2 linked regions of the Kluyveromyces lactis genome follow. The protein of the gene in region 2 interacts with the protein of the main gene of each other region in a biochemical or structural test. Links are inferred from orthologs where the notes say so. Each region holds a gene or a part of one and is shown on either strand. Other genes may lie near its edges.

Region 1 (6,910 bases), on a different chromosome or scaffold from region 2:
GCCGCCATCATTGTGTGCTCTGCGAAGTCACTCGAATTAAAAAGATCTATCAATTTCAAAAGCAAATCATCGAAGTATTCACTATTACAATTAATGATTAGGTTAATCCAACTCATATGTAAAGTTTCCGTCAAATATGGGGCCTTAGGCTTCTGAAGAAATATTATTAGGAATTTCAGGTTGATGTCTTCATACTTTGAGCCAAGGCTAGCAAAATAGGGAAGAAGGCGAACAGATAGAAGGCGTAAAAACCTTGATCTGCTATTAGATGCTCTTTGAAAGACCTGTAAACAACCGTAACCATCACTTTGTTGAATTAAGTCTGAAGTCTCTTCAAGTTTTGGAGGTTCAAATCGAGAAAATACTTCTATCAAAATAAGGACAACACCGGTGAGCATGGCTTCTGGCATATCTGTAATGGGTATGCTTTTTATAACGTGCTTGGCCAATAATTGAAATGCCAAAGACTTGTGCAATGGAACCAAGTTTAAAGATGATAGCCTCATATTTTGAGAGGCATTGAATTCCACCTGTGGAGATCTTACAAGATTGTTATTGACAAACTTTTCTTTTATAGCCAATTGTCTGATGGAATGCATCGAATGTGTCAATTTTGCGGTGTCACCATCCTTTATCGTGTTTAGTAATGATTCTTTCACCTTATCGTAGAAAGATCTTATATCAGCACTATCAGCTATACAATTTCGAACATTCCCAGAGACTAGACGTAGCTTCGGATTTTCTATGGCTTGATGAAGCCAATGCAATTGCTTATTAGAGAATGTAAACTCTTCCATCGATTCCAGGAACCCTAGTTTCACTGAAACGTATTTTATCGATCTAATAAACAGGGGATCAGCATTCTTATTCGTGTTGATCCATTCATGTAATTCGAATGTATTCTTGATCTCTGCCAACTTTGATTCGTCATGGATACAAAGGTACAAAGTCCGTAACAAAGTCTTGGCTAAAATGGTCGGAGAGATATGCTGATGATGATCTTTAATTAAAGTTTGTATGAGGTCAAACGAGAATCTGAATATTGACAATGACTCTTTAGATAAAGAGATGTAACGAACAAGTAATTGCAAGATGCTCGCAACTTCGACACTTGGTTCGTTAGTTGATTTCAAAACAAAGGCTAGCAATCGCATCAATTTCTGAAACTGACTTTGCCATCTTCTATAGCTGTAATTTCGAAGTAGTCCATCCCTCATAATCCAACCGTTCACTATCACTATTTTTTTCAAGAGGGAATGAAACGTCGGCTTCTCTAGCTTACCTCTCAGACATGTTACTAGTAACTTTTCATACTGAACCATTTGTTCAGTGAACCAAATCTGTAAATTGGAGGTCGATGCAAAAGAGTACGCTTTTAACCATGCACTCACGTATTTGTTTATAAGCCAAATATATTGCATATTGGACCAATGCATTAGCGAACAACTAACCATATTGTTTAAAATAACCTCGATCATAGTAATCTCTTTAACATTGGCTGAGAAAAGGTGTTGGTTGCATCGCAGAAATAAATCAAGTGCTTGAAAGGATTTGTGAAAGATCACCTCATCCGTATTCGTAGATTGCGTATTCTTCAACAATGTCTGTAGTAATTTCCCATTCTTTTCATCTAATTGCAAAGTGCTATCTAACTCTATACCATTTCCTACAGTTCCTGCTGATTTTAACGCCAGTATCAGTTCTTCCAGATATTTTACCCTAGGATTATCCATTTCCTATACGCTGAGAAGATATTACTCTTACACGGCAACTGCACTCTCAATCACACTCACCTAGGACGCCCTAACGAGAGAAAACTGTGTTTCTTTCATAGTCCAGCGTTTGTTTTTGGTTAGTTTCATTATTTATAATTTGACTTATATACAAATTTTGGTATCAATAAGGAATCTCAACACATACATAAATGTGGTATGTACATATGCTAAACACTTCTCCAGAAGTACAATTCAGGCGTCTTAAGCCATTTGCAAGTTTGACAACAGAAGACTAACTTACACAAAGTGTGCAGCCAGGAATTGCAGATCTTTGGGGAAACATTATTCTCTCTTATTAACAGTGTAACGCGTAAAACTGGAATACGATTTTCTTATTATTTCATTTTAAAGTCTTTAGTGGGTAGTTCATATATTTTGACTTTGTTGGCCTGCAGCAATTGATTTTTGCTGCTGCTGTGCGGCAGCATGCGCCGCACGTATTTCAGCCTCGTAATTCAGTGGTCTCTTAAATAGTAAAATATGTGGTTCAGGCGCATGGCATTCGTAATGTTCCCATCCCAGAGATTGTGTAATTCCTAACCCTCTCCATTCGTCTTCTGTTAAGATTCGCAAAGTACCAGTGTCTCCGTTGAAATAATCAGAAGGTATCACTTTTAGCATGGCCTTGGGAAGCATTACATGTCTGTATTCGTGTGTATCGTCGGAGTATCTTGGTGAATAATGAATGCTATCTTGAAATTCGAGAACTCTCGTTCTTTCCTGATCAGAAAGCTTTCTGCCTTGGAAAGCGTGCGTCGAATACATTGTTAGATTCGATCACAACTTAAGCTATACAATTGGAGTGTTAATTAACCCTAGACTACTGATGCTGGATCTTATTCGCTCATCACATATCATGTCTTTAGCATAACTGAAAAGATCTTAGGTATTAAAATAGTATTGTTTACAAAAAAAAAATGAAAATAAATATTGTTTAGGACAGAAACCAGATCCGTCACTATTGATGGTCAGAGATGAGGTAAAAGAATAGGACACAGAGCTATCACTGGTGTAGTGTCTACCATAATTACGGTATAGCTGAAGAAGGGTTTACCAATAAACGTTTGACTGTTGTTGTGAAACTGTTCTGCGTGCTGCGTTTGTGTGTTTGTATGTGCTGAAATGGCAAGTCGAAGTAATGTTTTCGTCGGGATCAAACCTCACAGTGAACATTCCGCTGATGTTCTTGGAACTTCTTCTACAGATAAAAGAGTAGAGAATTATGACTATGTGCTGCTGCCCTTGACAAATACCAGATACAAGGATGCCATGAAGGCCAAGTTTGAAGATTTTCGAGATCACGGTCATGGATGGAATGAAGAACTAAAGTTAGATCCTCCTCAATTGCAAGAGCTGGGGGTATTGCCATCTAATGGAAATGTTTCATATATTGGATTGGTCTCTTACTTTTTAGAGCTCGAGAGCCATGATGCTGATGTCCGGACTTTATCTTTGCAAGTGTTGGAGCACGAATTGCATTATGCAAATTTCGTTGGAATCAGACAGGTTATCTTAGCTCCTCCTAAAAAGTTACACACGCTTCATTACTACGCACAATCTTTGTGTACAGTATTTGATACTTTTAAAGAAGCGTGTCCGACAATATCTATTTCGTTACCTTTGTTTGAAGATTCAGATCCACTTTCGACTTGGGAACTGTGGAACACGATCAGGAAAATGTGCGGATACGAGCCTAAATTGACTGTATCTCTAGCTCTACCTAGACAGAAGACTCCCAGTTTTGTGCTAAACAGATGGCTGAGCGAACCTGTCACATGTCTTTTGATCTCTGCATCCATATTCACAACAAATCAATACAATTACCCTGTATTGAATAAATTTAATCAGCATTTAATCACTGAGTTCCAACGTGTTAACGGTAACGCATCAACATTTGGCGAACTAGCTATCGTTTTACATGGTATGGAGAAATACACGGATAAACTCAAAATTGAACCTACACAGTACCTAGAATACCTCAATTATTTATTGAAAAAGGGAGATAAGCTCATACTAATGGAGACCCAAGATGTTGTCCACAGTGCACCTACAATCATGCCTCCGCTACTACCCCATCATGATAATCTTTCGAATGCAGTTTACCAAGTTTTCGAAAAGGATACTGTCAAGTACGAATTATACGAGAGGGCTATCATGGTCGCTGTATCTGAAATTTTGACAGAAAATTCGTCCAGTTGGAGAGGCCCTACAGAACTTATCACATTAGTTGCAGGTGCAGGCAGGGGTCCATTGGTGGATAAGACATTCCAAGTGTTACATAAACTTGGAGTAACCAACTTCAGGCTATTGGCTATCGAAAAAAACCCACAAGCACTTCTCTATTTACAGAAACGCAACTTTGAACACTGGGACAACAAAGTTGAAGTTATCCGTACTGACATCCGAGAATGGGATGAAAATATTAAAGTCGATCTCTGCATCAGTGAACTTTTGGGGTCTTTCGGCTGTAACGAGTTATCTCCCGAATGTATTGCTCCAATAGAAGCTTTCCATTCAAAACCTAACACAAGGTTTATTCCTCAAGGATATAGTTCCTATGCGTCTCCTATATCATCTCCAATTTTATACCAAAGCCTCATTGAAAAAGGACCAGAATATCTCGAAAAACCTTCAATAATTCACAATGTTCCATATTGCCGTACATCATCCAGAGTAAATGAAATATGGTCATTCTCACATTTGCATCAACAACAGCATCAATTTAACAAAAGTTCAATATCCCACTTTCGAGTAAAGCATAAAAGTGAAATTCATGGTATTGCTGGATACTTTATTGCAACATTATACGGAGATATAACCTTGAGCATAGTTCCAAATGACTCTGTCATTAAAACTTTAGAAGATCAGGAAAATTCTAACATAGATAACTCCAGAAGCCATAACGGATCAACTGCCACTAAAGTGAATCATACGGAAAATATGAAATCATGGTCACCAATGTTTTTCCCCTTGAAGGAACCCTTGTTCTTAAATGATGACACTGAACTTGAAGTATTCATTACTAGAAATGACTTAAATAGCAGAGTTTGGTACGAATGGTCTGTATCATCATTTGTATACCTTGTGTCAAGTTCGGAAATACCAAAATCCGAAGGAGAAAGAGTACCCAGAACTGGATCGAAAGAAAATGCTGATATAGATACTCAGAACCTGACTAAAGCCTTCGCACGATTCGGTCCTCAGAATGACTCCTCAGAAATAGAAGACAAGTATTTTGAAGACTCAATCAATCATACCAATTTCATGTCAGGTAGAACAAATGAATGGGATAGTGTAAAAGACCTGCATGAGATACAAAATAGACATGATTCATCTAATCTAACTAAAGATCAAGAACAACGGAAAAAATCACTAACAGAAGAATATCATGTCAGAGTTAGGACTAATATTTCCAAATTGCATAATCCCAATGGATGCATATATTCGATTCCTCTATAAACAAGGCATTTATAAAAATCGAAGCAAACTTTAACCATTTAGTTTAAATCCGCATATCAATAAATTATTTACTTAATGTTCACCAAGGATTTTCTGTAAGTTTCATTTCATTAGAGGTCCAAACTGCATGTGCAGCGGGTTTTGGTTCGTCCATGTCTTCAAAGGCATTAGATGACACCTCAAACTGATTATCAATTTTGATCTGGTCATGAATTTCGTCTATTTCATCTTGTATCGCAATTGGTAAAATCGGCAAAAATCTATAACTGGACTCGCATTCATCATATAAAAAGTATAGCTCTTGAAGGGTAGGTAGAGTTAGCTTAACAGAAAATTCGATGTCAAGTAAAACGGGTTGTTGATCTTTGATAGCTTTCACCTTTTGCTTCAAAAGTTTCTTCATGCTGGTTTTTCCTTCATTGAGTTCATATCTGTAACGATCCAACGATTTATACAACTGTGTAACGTTTAATCGGCTTAACCTATCAATAGTACCATTCAGAACATCTTCATTCGGATCCAAGGAAGTGGCAACTTGTAACCATTGTAATAGTTGATAAACTGGTTCCAAATGAAATTGCCAGATATGTGCAAAAGATTGGTAAAAGAATAATGAGTTTGATTCGTCCGTACAAGGTTCCTTTTTGATCGGTTTATAGAAATAAACGTTTTCAAGAGGTTGAGAAGGCTTCTTCAGATCAATGGATCCAACATCTTGAACTATAGTCAGTGGGAACCTTTGCCACATGAAGTCATCCATTAGATCGGGCTTCTGGACAGAAAAGTTATGGTTTTTCACCCAATCTTGTAAGATCGAGAGATTCAATCTTATTTGCATCGCGTGTGCTCTTGAAGAGAGTTGCTTAGATTGTATAATCTCGTTGAAAATTGTATTAGCCAACCACTTAGATGATATAGACAAGCACTGTTGCAAAAGAACTGGATGAATGTCATGCAAGTCGAAAACATATGTCAAGGCACCAAAAATCTGAACGATTTTAAGAGGAGAAGGTTTCATTTGTTCCTTTACTGAGGGAGGATACAAAAGCTGAAGAATGTCGTCATATGAATCATGTTTCATACGCTTGAGCTTCCGCTTCTTGAAAAAGTTCCAGTCATTTTTGTACAACGTTTCCTTAACATCAGAGATCGTTGTATATTCAAGGATTCCAGGATGTAATAATGGTTCTAGTCTTGAATTGATGGATGCCGATAGATTTTTTATTAACAGTAGAATGGAGTCTATAATATCCTGTAATAAATGGGGGTATGCAGGGAAGACCATTTCGTCACGATACATGTAATAATACAATAGGTTGAGATATCCCAACGTATAAGATTGCTTTAGGATGTCCTGGTTCGGATCTGCCGCTAATAACTTTTGAAGACATGAGTTATGGATAGATTCAATCATGGTTCTATTATGCCTTTTGTGATGAGCGTATCTGATGCATTGGAAAGTAACTGCGGCCGCAATGTTGGGTTTATGAGGGTATTTGTTTGGAAGTTTTGCAACCAATGAAGATAAACTTTCGATATCCAAACTAGTAAAAGAGATGTATTGCCTAGGTTCAAGATGCTTGTAATTAAACTCGGAATCTGGAGGAATATCAGGTTTAACATCAAGTATAGCCGAACGACTTTCAGGTTCGAAATATGCAGTATTATCATCTATG
Region 2 (7,115 bases):
ATTTCTCAACTAAAAAATTACAATAACCAAAGATACCACACATTCTATCGCGTTCCTAAACTATCTTGCCTCAGCGTCTTTTCTAATGCTACCGCTGGAACACTTTAGAGTTACTGGATCCTTTGTTAGCTTCTTTCCTTTCGAACGCTTGGCATAAAACCCTGAGTGAATAAGTCCAGTTTATATTTATACCATATGTGTTCTTTATTTATATAACACAAAAATTTTTTTGTTACTATAATTACCAGTTTTAGAAATGTAAATACAGTGTGATCCATAAAGGCTTGAAACAGAGAAGACCAAAGGACCAGAGGTTTGAGTTGTCCTGATGGAGGTTGTAATTCGTAGGGCCATCCTGTATCTGGTGTAACTGGTATAGTTTTGTTATGTAGTACTATGATGAGGTATGAATTGCATGTCTTTGCGTATAAGATTCATAGTTCAAATTCAGACATGTGGGCCCAATTCATTAGGACGATCATATTTCAGTAAGATTAGTAACCGTAGTAGGGGTTTATAGAAATGGAGGTGAGTTATGATTTTAATCACAAATCACCAAAGGATTGGTAGACTTGGTTCCAGTCGTTGTAGAATCCGTTAAAGAATTTAACTGCCAAGCCGATATCTTTACTACCAGTTGTAGCTCTAATGCTATGCATTGACCATTGAGCAATACCCATATCAATGGTTCTAGCACCTGTTTGGGATGCTAAAGAAGGACCAATGGTGCCTCCAGATCTGGAATTGTTCTTGATTTGGAAGTATTGGATCTTGTCCCCGTTCAATCTACCCAATTCTTCCACCAATGCGGTCCCAACAACGTCTGTAGCCATATGAGCGTTGGAATCCAATGCAAGGGTGATCCCAACGTTTGGCTTTGGTTTATGGTTCTCTAAATATACTGAGTTGAAGTTTGGGTTTAACATGTGTGTGACGTCTGCAGAGATGATGATAGAGTTGGCGAATGCCGTACGCGTCTCAGAGACGTCGTTTCCCCTGCTAGCAACGATTCTTTCGACCACTGATTCTAACAATCCACCTTTAGCACCTTGTCTTGTCAACGATCCAACTTCTTCGTCGTCATAAAGCACTGCGACGTTAAATCCATCCTTTTTATGGCCAGTCTTCTTGTGCTCTATCAACCCATTGATGGCACTGAACGAGCAGATTCTGTCGTCAATACGAGGAACAAAGATGAATTCGTCTTTAAGACCGCCGAAAGTACCCTTTTGCACATCGAATAAGTCCAAGTCAAATTGCGTAATGGCAGACACTTTAACGGATAGTAACTTGGCAATGTATCTCAATAAATGGATACTATGTTTGCCGTACAACGGGCTCTTCTTTTCATCCTCGACGTCGTGGTCCTCATCATCATCATCGTAGTCTCCATTACCGACGTAGCCAATCACGGGCACAGTTTGGTCCTCCTTATCGAATGGACCAACACTTGGTGCACCGAAATGTGGTGCCAAAGATGGAATCCTAGCGATAGGGTGTGGAGCCGAGTTGCACAAATGCGAACTGATCTTACCAGTATCAGGGTCCTTAATTAGGACACGACCACCGATCCCAAGGTCTCTGTCTAACCACAGTTCATTTAAAGTACCACCGTATGGAGCTACACCTAACAATTCGAATCCTTCCACATCAGGTTTCTTAGAAGAAGGTTTCAACTTCGCAGTTAAGGCGTCAATATGGGCACCAATGATACCAACACCTAACTCAGGTTTCCATTCGGGTCCCACCGCAAAGGCACAGAGGTTTGTACCATTTCTGGTCGTATAGTAATGGCCCGGTTCAACGTTGGACCAAGAACTCTTTTCACTGAGATAACCGAAGCCATTCTCTTCCAATTTCTTGGCAAAATACTTGACGACGTGGTAAATGGTAGGGTTTTCATATGTGAAATCTATGTACTCTTGCGAGTACTCTCTGAACGTCGCTTTGTTCGAGAATTGGCTTTGCTTACTAGTCGACTTCTTGGTAACCTTGTCATTTTGGTTGTTAACGTCTCTTGACCTAGGTTCAATGACGGCTAGTTGTTTCAAGACGTCGCTTAGAGCGTTGATAGTTTCTTTGCTTATTTCGATGTGTTCTGTCATTGGGTTGCACTTTTCGGATGGTGTTTGTCTCTTTGAGCGCTGTTATGTTATCAGTGTCTTTATCTTTAATATAGGGGAGAAGAAGAAACTGTGATCGATAGACGTTAAAAGTAATTCAGAGTCCTGTACAGCGAGCGAAATATGACTTGAATTGGGAGCGGAGTGTGAATATCGAGGGATAGTAACGTTATTAAGCGTTGTTGAAGATCAATTAGTTACTATTCTCAGGGGAGAGTGGTGCGAGATGGTTGCTATAAGATATCATGGATAAGTTTAAGTCATAGTTCGTATAGGCAACAGAATTGATAAAGGTCACGTGACAATATCTAGTTGTTTTCGGCCGTGTAAATTCAAAGGTCACGTGGTTGTGCCTATATTTCATTCAGATAAACCAAAAGTGCTGATGCCCGTGCCCGTGCCAGCACACTGGCAGCAACCAACACAATTATTGAACCAGCGCCGAAAGCCCTGGTTCAAATCTATCACAGCAAGTTGAACTTGCCATGTTCTCGACTTTACTGCTTCTGCCAATTTTCGCGTTTTCGCGTCTTCGTCTTCGCGAACAAAGCTCAAACTCGCGTCTTGCTAGTATTTACTAGTCGTGCAGAATGACTTCAACTATTTACCAAATAAAGCCCTTTCATGAAATATATGCACACATAACAATGTTTGAATCAGAATTTGAAACCAAACAACATCCAAGAGAGAAGACACCAAGCAACGTTAACATCATCAGTAACGCTGATTTGTCGCTCTGCTGGAACTGCAAATTACAAGGCTAGGTCTACCATTTGAATTATAAGGAAGAAGAAGAATACTAATAATAATAAGAAGAAGAAGAATCATTGATTTGATCACAGAGTGTGTTTATTTTCCAATCATTACATTCGCTTATCATACTTAAACACTCACACACGCTCTCTTCTGCTCTTTTGCTTTCTCAATTTCACTCGCTTGCTTTGTTTGTGCTAGATGTCGTGTGCTGTTCAAGCTGCCGTTGTGGCAATGAAGGATAATTCTAGTCACGGCCAGGTCCCATATCGTGCAAATAATGAACATTTGAATAGGGTTGTTCAGTCAGTAACAGACGCTACTAAGCGTCTTTCACAGATTTCGACTGCATCGTCGAATGCTAATGTTAATAATACCAAGACTTCGAAGAGGAGAAACCGCGATACGGTAGGTCCCTGGAAATTGGGTAAGACTTTGGGGAAAGGGTCATCGGGTCGAGTTCGTCTAGCAAAGAATATGGAAACGGGGAAACTGTCAGCGATTAAGATAGTTCCCAAAAAATTCGTTAAGTCGAACCAGATCAAACAGCTGCCATATGGGATCGAACGTGAGATTATCATTATGAAGCTTATCTCGCACCCCAATGTGATGGGTCTCTACGAGGTATGGGAAAACAAATCTGAGTTATATTTGGTATTGGAATATGTTGAAGGTGGTGAATTGTTCGACTATTTGGTCTCGAAGGGGAAGTTGCCGGAAAGTGAGGCTATCCATTATTTCAAACAGATAGTACAAGCTGTAGCATACTGCCATGGGTTCAATATTTGTCATCGTGATTTGAAACCAGAGAATTTGCTTTTGGATAAGAAAAAGAGATCTATCAAGATTGCAGACTTTGGGATGGCTGCCCTAGAGACTTCGGATAAACTGCTGGAGACCTCGTGTGGCTCACCACATTATGCTTCTCCTGAAATCGTTCTGGGTCGGAAATATCATGGATCCCCAAGTGATGTTTGGTCCTGTGGTATCATCTTGTTCGCCCTGTTGACTGGACATTTACCCTTTAACGACGATAACGTCAAGAAATTGTTGTTGAAAGTACAGTCAGGAAAATATCAGATGCCCCAATGGTTATCGGTAGAGGCTAAAGATTTAATTTCTAGAATCCTGGTGGTAGATCCAAATAGAAGAATTACTATTGACCAAATCTTACAGCATGAGTTGCTGACGAAATATGATCAGAAATCTCGCAGTAAGTCTAATTCGGATTTGAATCTGTTGAATCGTACTCCAAATATTGTGAGCTTTTCGTCGGAAAGGGACATCGATGAGACAATCTTATCCAACCTACAGATCCTATGGCACGGTGCTGCAAGGAAACATTTGGTGACAAGACTTATGAAACCAGGATTCACTGAAGAGAAAATGTTTTATTCTTTACTATGGAATTATCAGGAGAAACAACAGAAATCGATGCAAAAGGATTTAATACCTGTTCCTACGTTGAAAACATCGTCCGCTTCCTCGGTCAGTCCATTGAATATTTCATCTGATGTGAATAGTGTAACAAATACAGCGAAAAAACAACAACAATCAAGTAACGGAACTGTACTGCCAGCATCGATGGCTCCAACAATATCGGCCTTTGGACAACAAATATCATCTGATAGTTCTGAATCTAGTACCCTACAGGCTCCAAAGATCCACCAGAAATCACATTTCTCGATAAGTTCCTTGAAAAATGGAAGTTCAAAATCTCCAAAGAAGACAAAACAGGGATTCATTGCTTCTTCCTCCTCCTCAAAACTTTTCCAACCAAACTTTGGCGCAAAATCTTCCTCACAATCGATATCAAAATCCAGCTCTAAGAAGTCATTGACTCCTACCACTCCAAAGAAAAGAACGTTACAAAACTCAGCTTCAAAGAGATCGTTGTACTCTTTGCAATCTATTTCTAAACGTTCAATAAACTTGAACGAATTGCTTCATGACGAGTTGCAACATGAATATCCACCTCCGCCTTTACCTTCTATTTCATCCTCGGAGCACACTTCATCCAAACTTGAATCTATTGTGGACGATTATGATAGAAGTACGTCTGTGCATGGTGCAACGATGGATAATTTCCTCGGTGAATCTGGTCAGCACATGAAAGCTCAACAGAATGAAAAACTTACGCAGCCATCGAAGAATATACTGGCACAACCAAAACTGAACAATCAGCCACAGACAGAAAATAGACAAAGTGTGACATCAATGAAACGGAAGACGGCTGATAACACAATAGCGACTGTTCCTGTTTCTATGACTCCGTTGAAGGATATGACCAATACATTCCAATCCAAGTCCATGTATGTCTCATCTTTGGACCCCAAACGTAACAAACCTAAGCCATCACTTGAGAACCTTCTAAGGAAGGTCAGTGTTCCACAGAGAATCAAGTCAAGATCTACCATTAGAAAGCTAAGAGATAGTGGGGATTGGACTGTAAGCGGAGAGGCGCAGGCTTTGTTTGGTGGGAAAGGTTCTTCGGAAGGTGAAAATCAATTGCAAAGGCAGAAGACTAATCCAAGTAAGTTGACAGCACCGGAAACCGTGTTAACTACCAGTACACCTATGACTGACATTAAGCCTGATCTCTTACGCATGCCATCGTCGTTGATCAATTCGTCAATGACATTCAAAGATCTCTCTCAGTTTATCATGAATATCGATGAGGATAAAGTACCAGTTACTCAGGCATCTAATCCTGTTAATACTGATCATGAAAAACTCTCGGAAAATCAAACTTTGATGATTGAAAATGATTCGAACCGGTTTGAGACCAGTTCCAATTATGACGATTATAACGTCAATACTGCACCAGCGGTCACAACAGCCGGTGACATCGATATTTTCGAAGACGCTCCAGACGATGCTAATGAATCTGTTACTACTTCTGAGTCAATGATCGATCAGTCACAGCTTAACTTGAAGAAAAAAGCTGCTTCTATCGATTCAATCGATACAAGTCATGTCCTGACACCAGCAACGGATGTAAGAGTCAGTTTATACATCAATCAAATGGATAAGCTGGATAATTTACCAAGGGAAACGACAGAACAAATTATATCTAAGTTCAAATTGAGTCCCATCAAAGATATCAAACAAAAGCGATTTTCGAATGGTGACAGAGATTTAACCATCACCGGTTCTATGATCTCGATGTTCAAAGATCTCGACGGTGATGAAAGCCGTGCTGAATATGACGATAATGGACTGGGACTCCTAGGAAGTGCATTAGATACACGTCCAGTCGAAAATGAAACCAATGAAGACACAAACGGCACTACCGTTAAAAGAAATTCCACTGTTCTTGTATCTTCTATCAATGGCGATAACCTGGACCTATCAACAGAAGAACAAAAGAACGATGATGGAAACCATGGTCAAGGTCAGACTAGAAGGGTGACTTTACTATTTGATGACGGAAGTTCTGAATCCGAACAGGTCTTCAAACCCGTTGCCGCAGAAAGAAGACAACCGACGCTAAATGCCAACAGTACGACGACAAATAACGTTGGCAGCAAAAGGAAATCCAACTACATAAACAAATTACCAAAGATCAAAGAGGATGAAGTGAAACCAATTACCAGTATGAAGTCTTCCTCCCCCGTTAATTGGTTCAGTAAACTATTACAACGGATTAAAACCTCGAAACCAAAGCGGACAGTATATGAATACCGGACCTCAAGTATACCGTTTGATAACATTCACATCTTACTCATGACGCAATTCGGTAAGAATGGTGTAGATTGTGAGTTAAAAAAGATGGAACGTAAGGGAGATAAAGAGTACGTGACGTACGATTGCAATTTCGGTGGTATTAAGAGAAATCGACCCAAGAGTAAATTTACCGTTGAGATGAGATGCATGAATGGTACGGAGACAGTGCTAAGTCTGGAGACTCGCAGTAAGAGGTTCGTTAACGATAAGGATACTATGGCATCATTTGAACGGTTCAATAAAGACGTTGCCGGTGCAATTAGTGCACAAGAAGAATAAAAATATCTGTAAAACTTTGTAACAATAGAATAATATATATATATCTTAAAAAATACACATAAATTAATGCTAGTAGTGACAATACCAGTCAATTCAAAGATAAGTCTGGTATTAAAGTTAGTTTAAAAATTGGAATATTGATTGAATATTATTTACTTCATTGATAAGAAAGAGAGGGGGGTCAATGACTACTATGATATATAAAAAATACGTTGTTTGAAATCAATTCAAATA

Evidence for each region.
Region 1: of the proteins of HSL1 (region 2) and HSL7, one has a biochemical effect on the other in vitro, tested with the Saccharomyces cerevisiae proteins (2 studies listed by BioGRID, with this or other methods). The link is inferred for Kluyveromyces lactis from reciprocal best matches to the Saccharomyces cerevisiae genes HSL1 and HSL7.

Annotation. Positions count from the first base shown.
Region 1 is NC_006039.1:1,373,011-1,379,920, forward strand, and holds HSL7 (protein arginine N-methyltransferase), read left to right. Parts: upstream 1-2,897; coding exon 2,898-5,234; downstream 5,235-6,910. Other genes in the region: protein kinase MEC1, read right to left, coding at 1-1,733; cyclin-dependent protein kinase regulatory subunit CKS1, read right to left, coding at 2,142-2,540; KLLA0_C15851g (uncharacterized protein), read right to left, coding at 5,314-6,910.
Region 2 is NC_006042.1:1,252,672-1,259,786, reverse strand, and holds HSL1 (protein kinase HSL1), read left to right. Parts: upstream 1-3,077; coding exon 3,078-6,881; downstream 6,882-7,115. Other genes in the region: glutamine--fructose-6-phosphate transaminase (isomerizing) GFA1, read right to left, coding at 1-43; metalloaminopeptidase APE1, read right to left, coding at 546-2,105.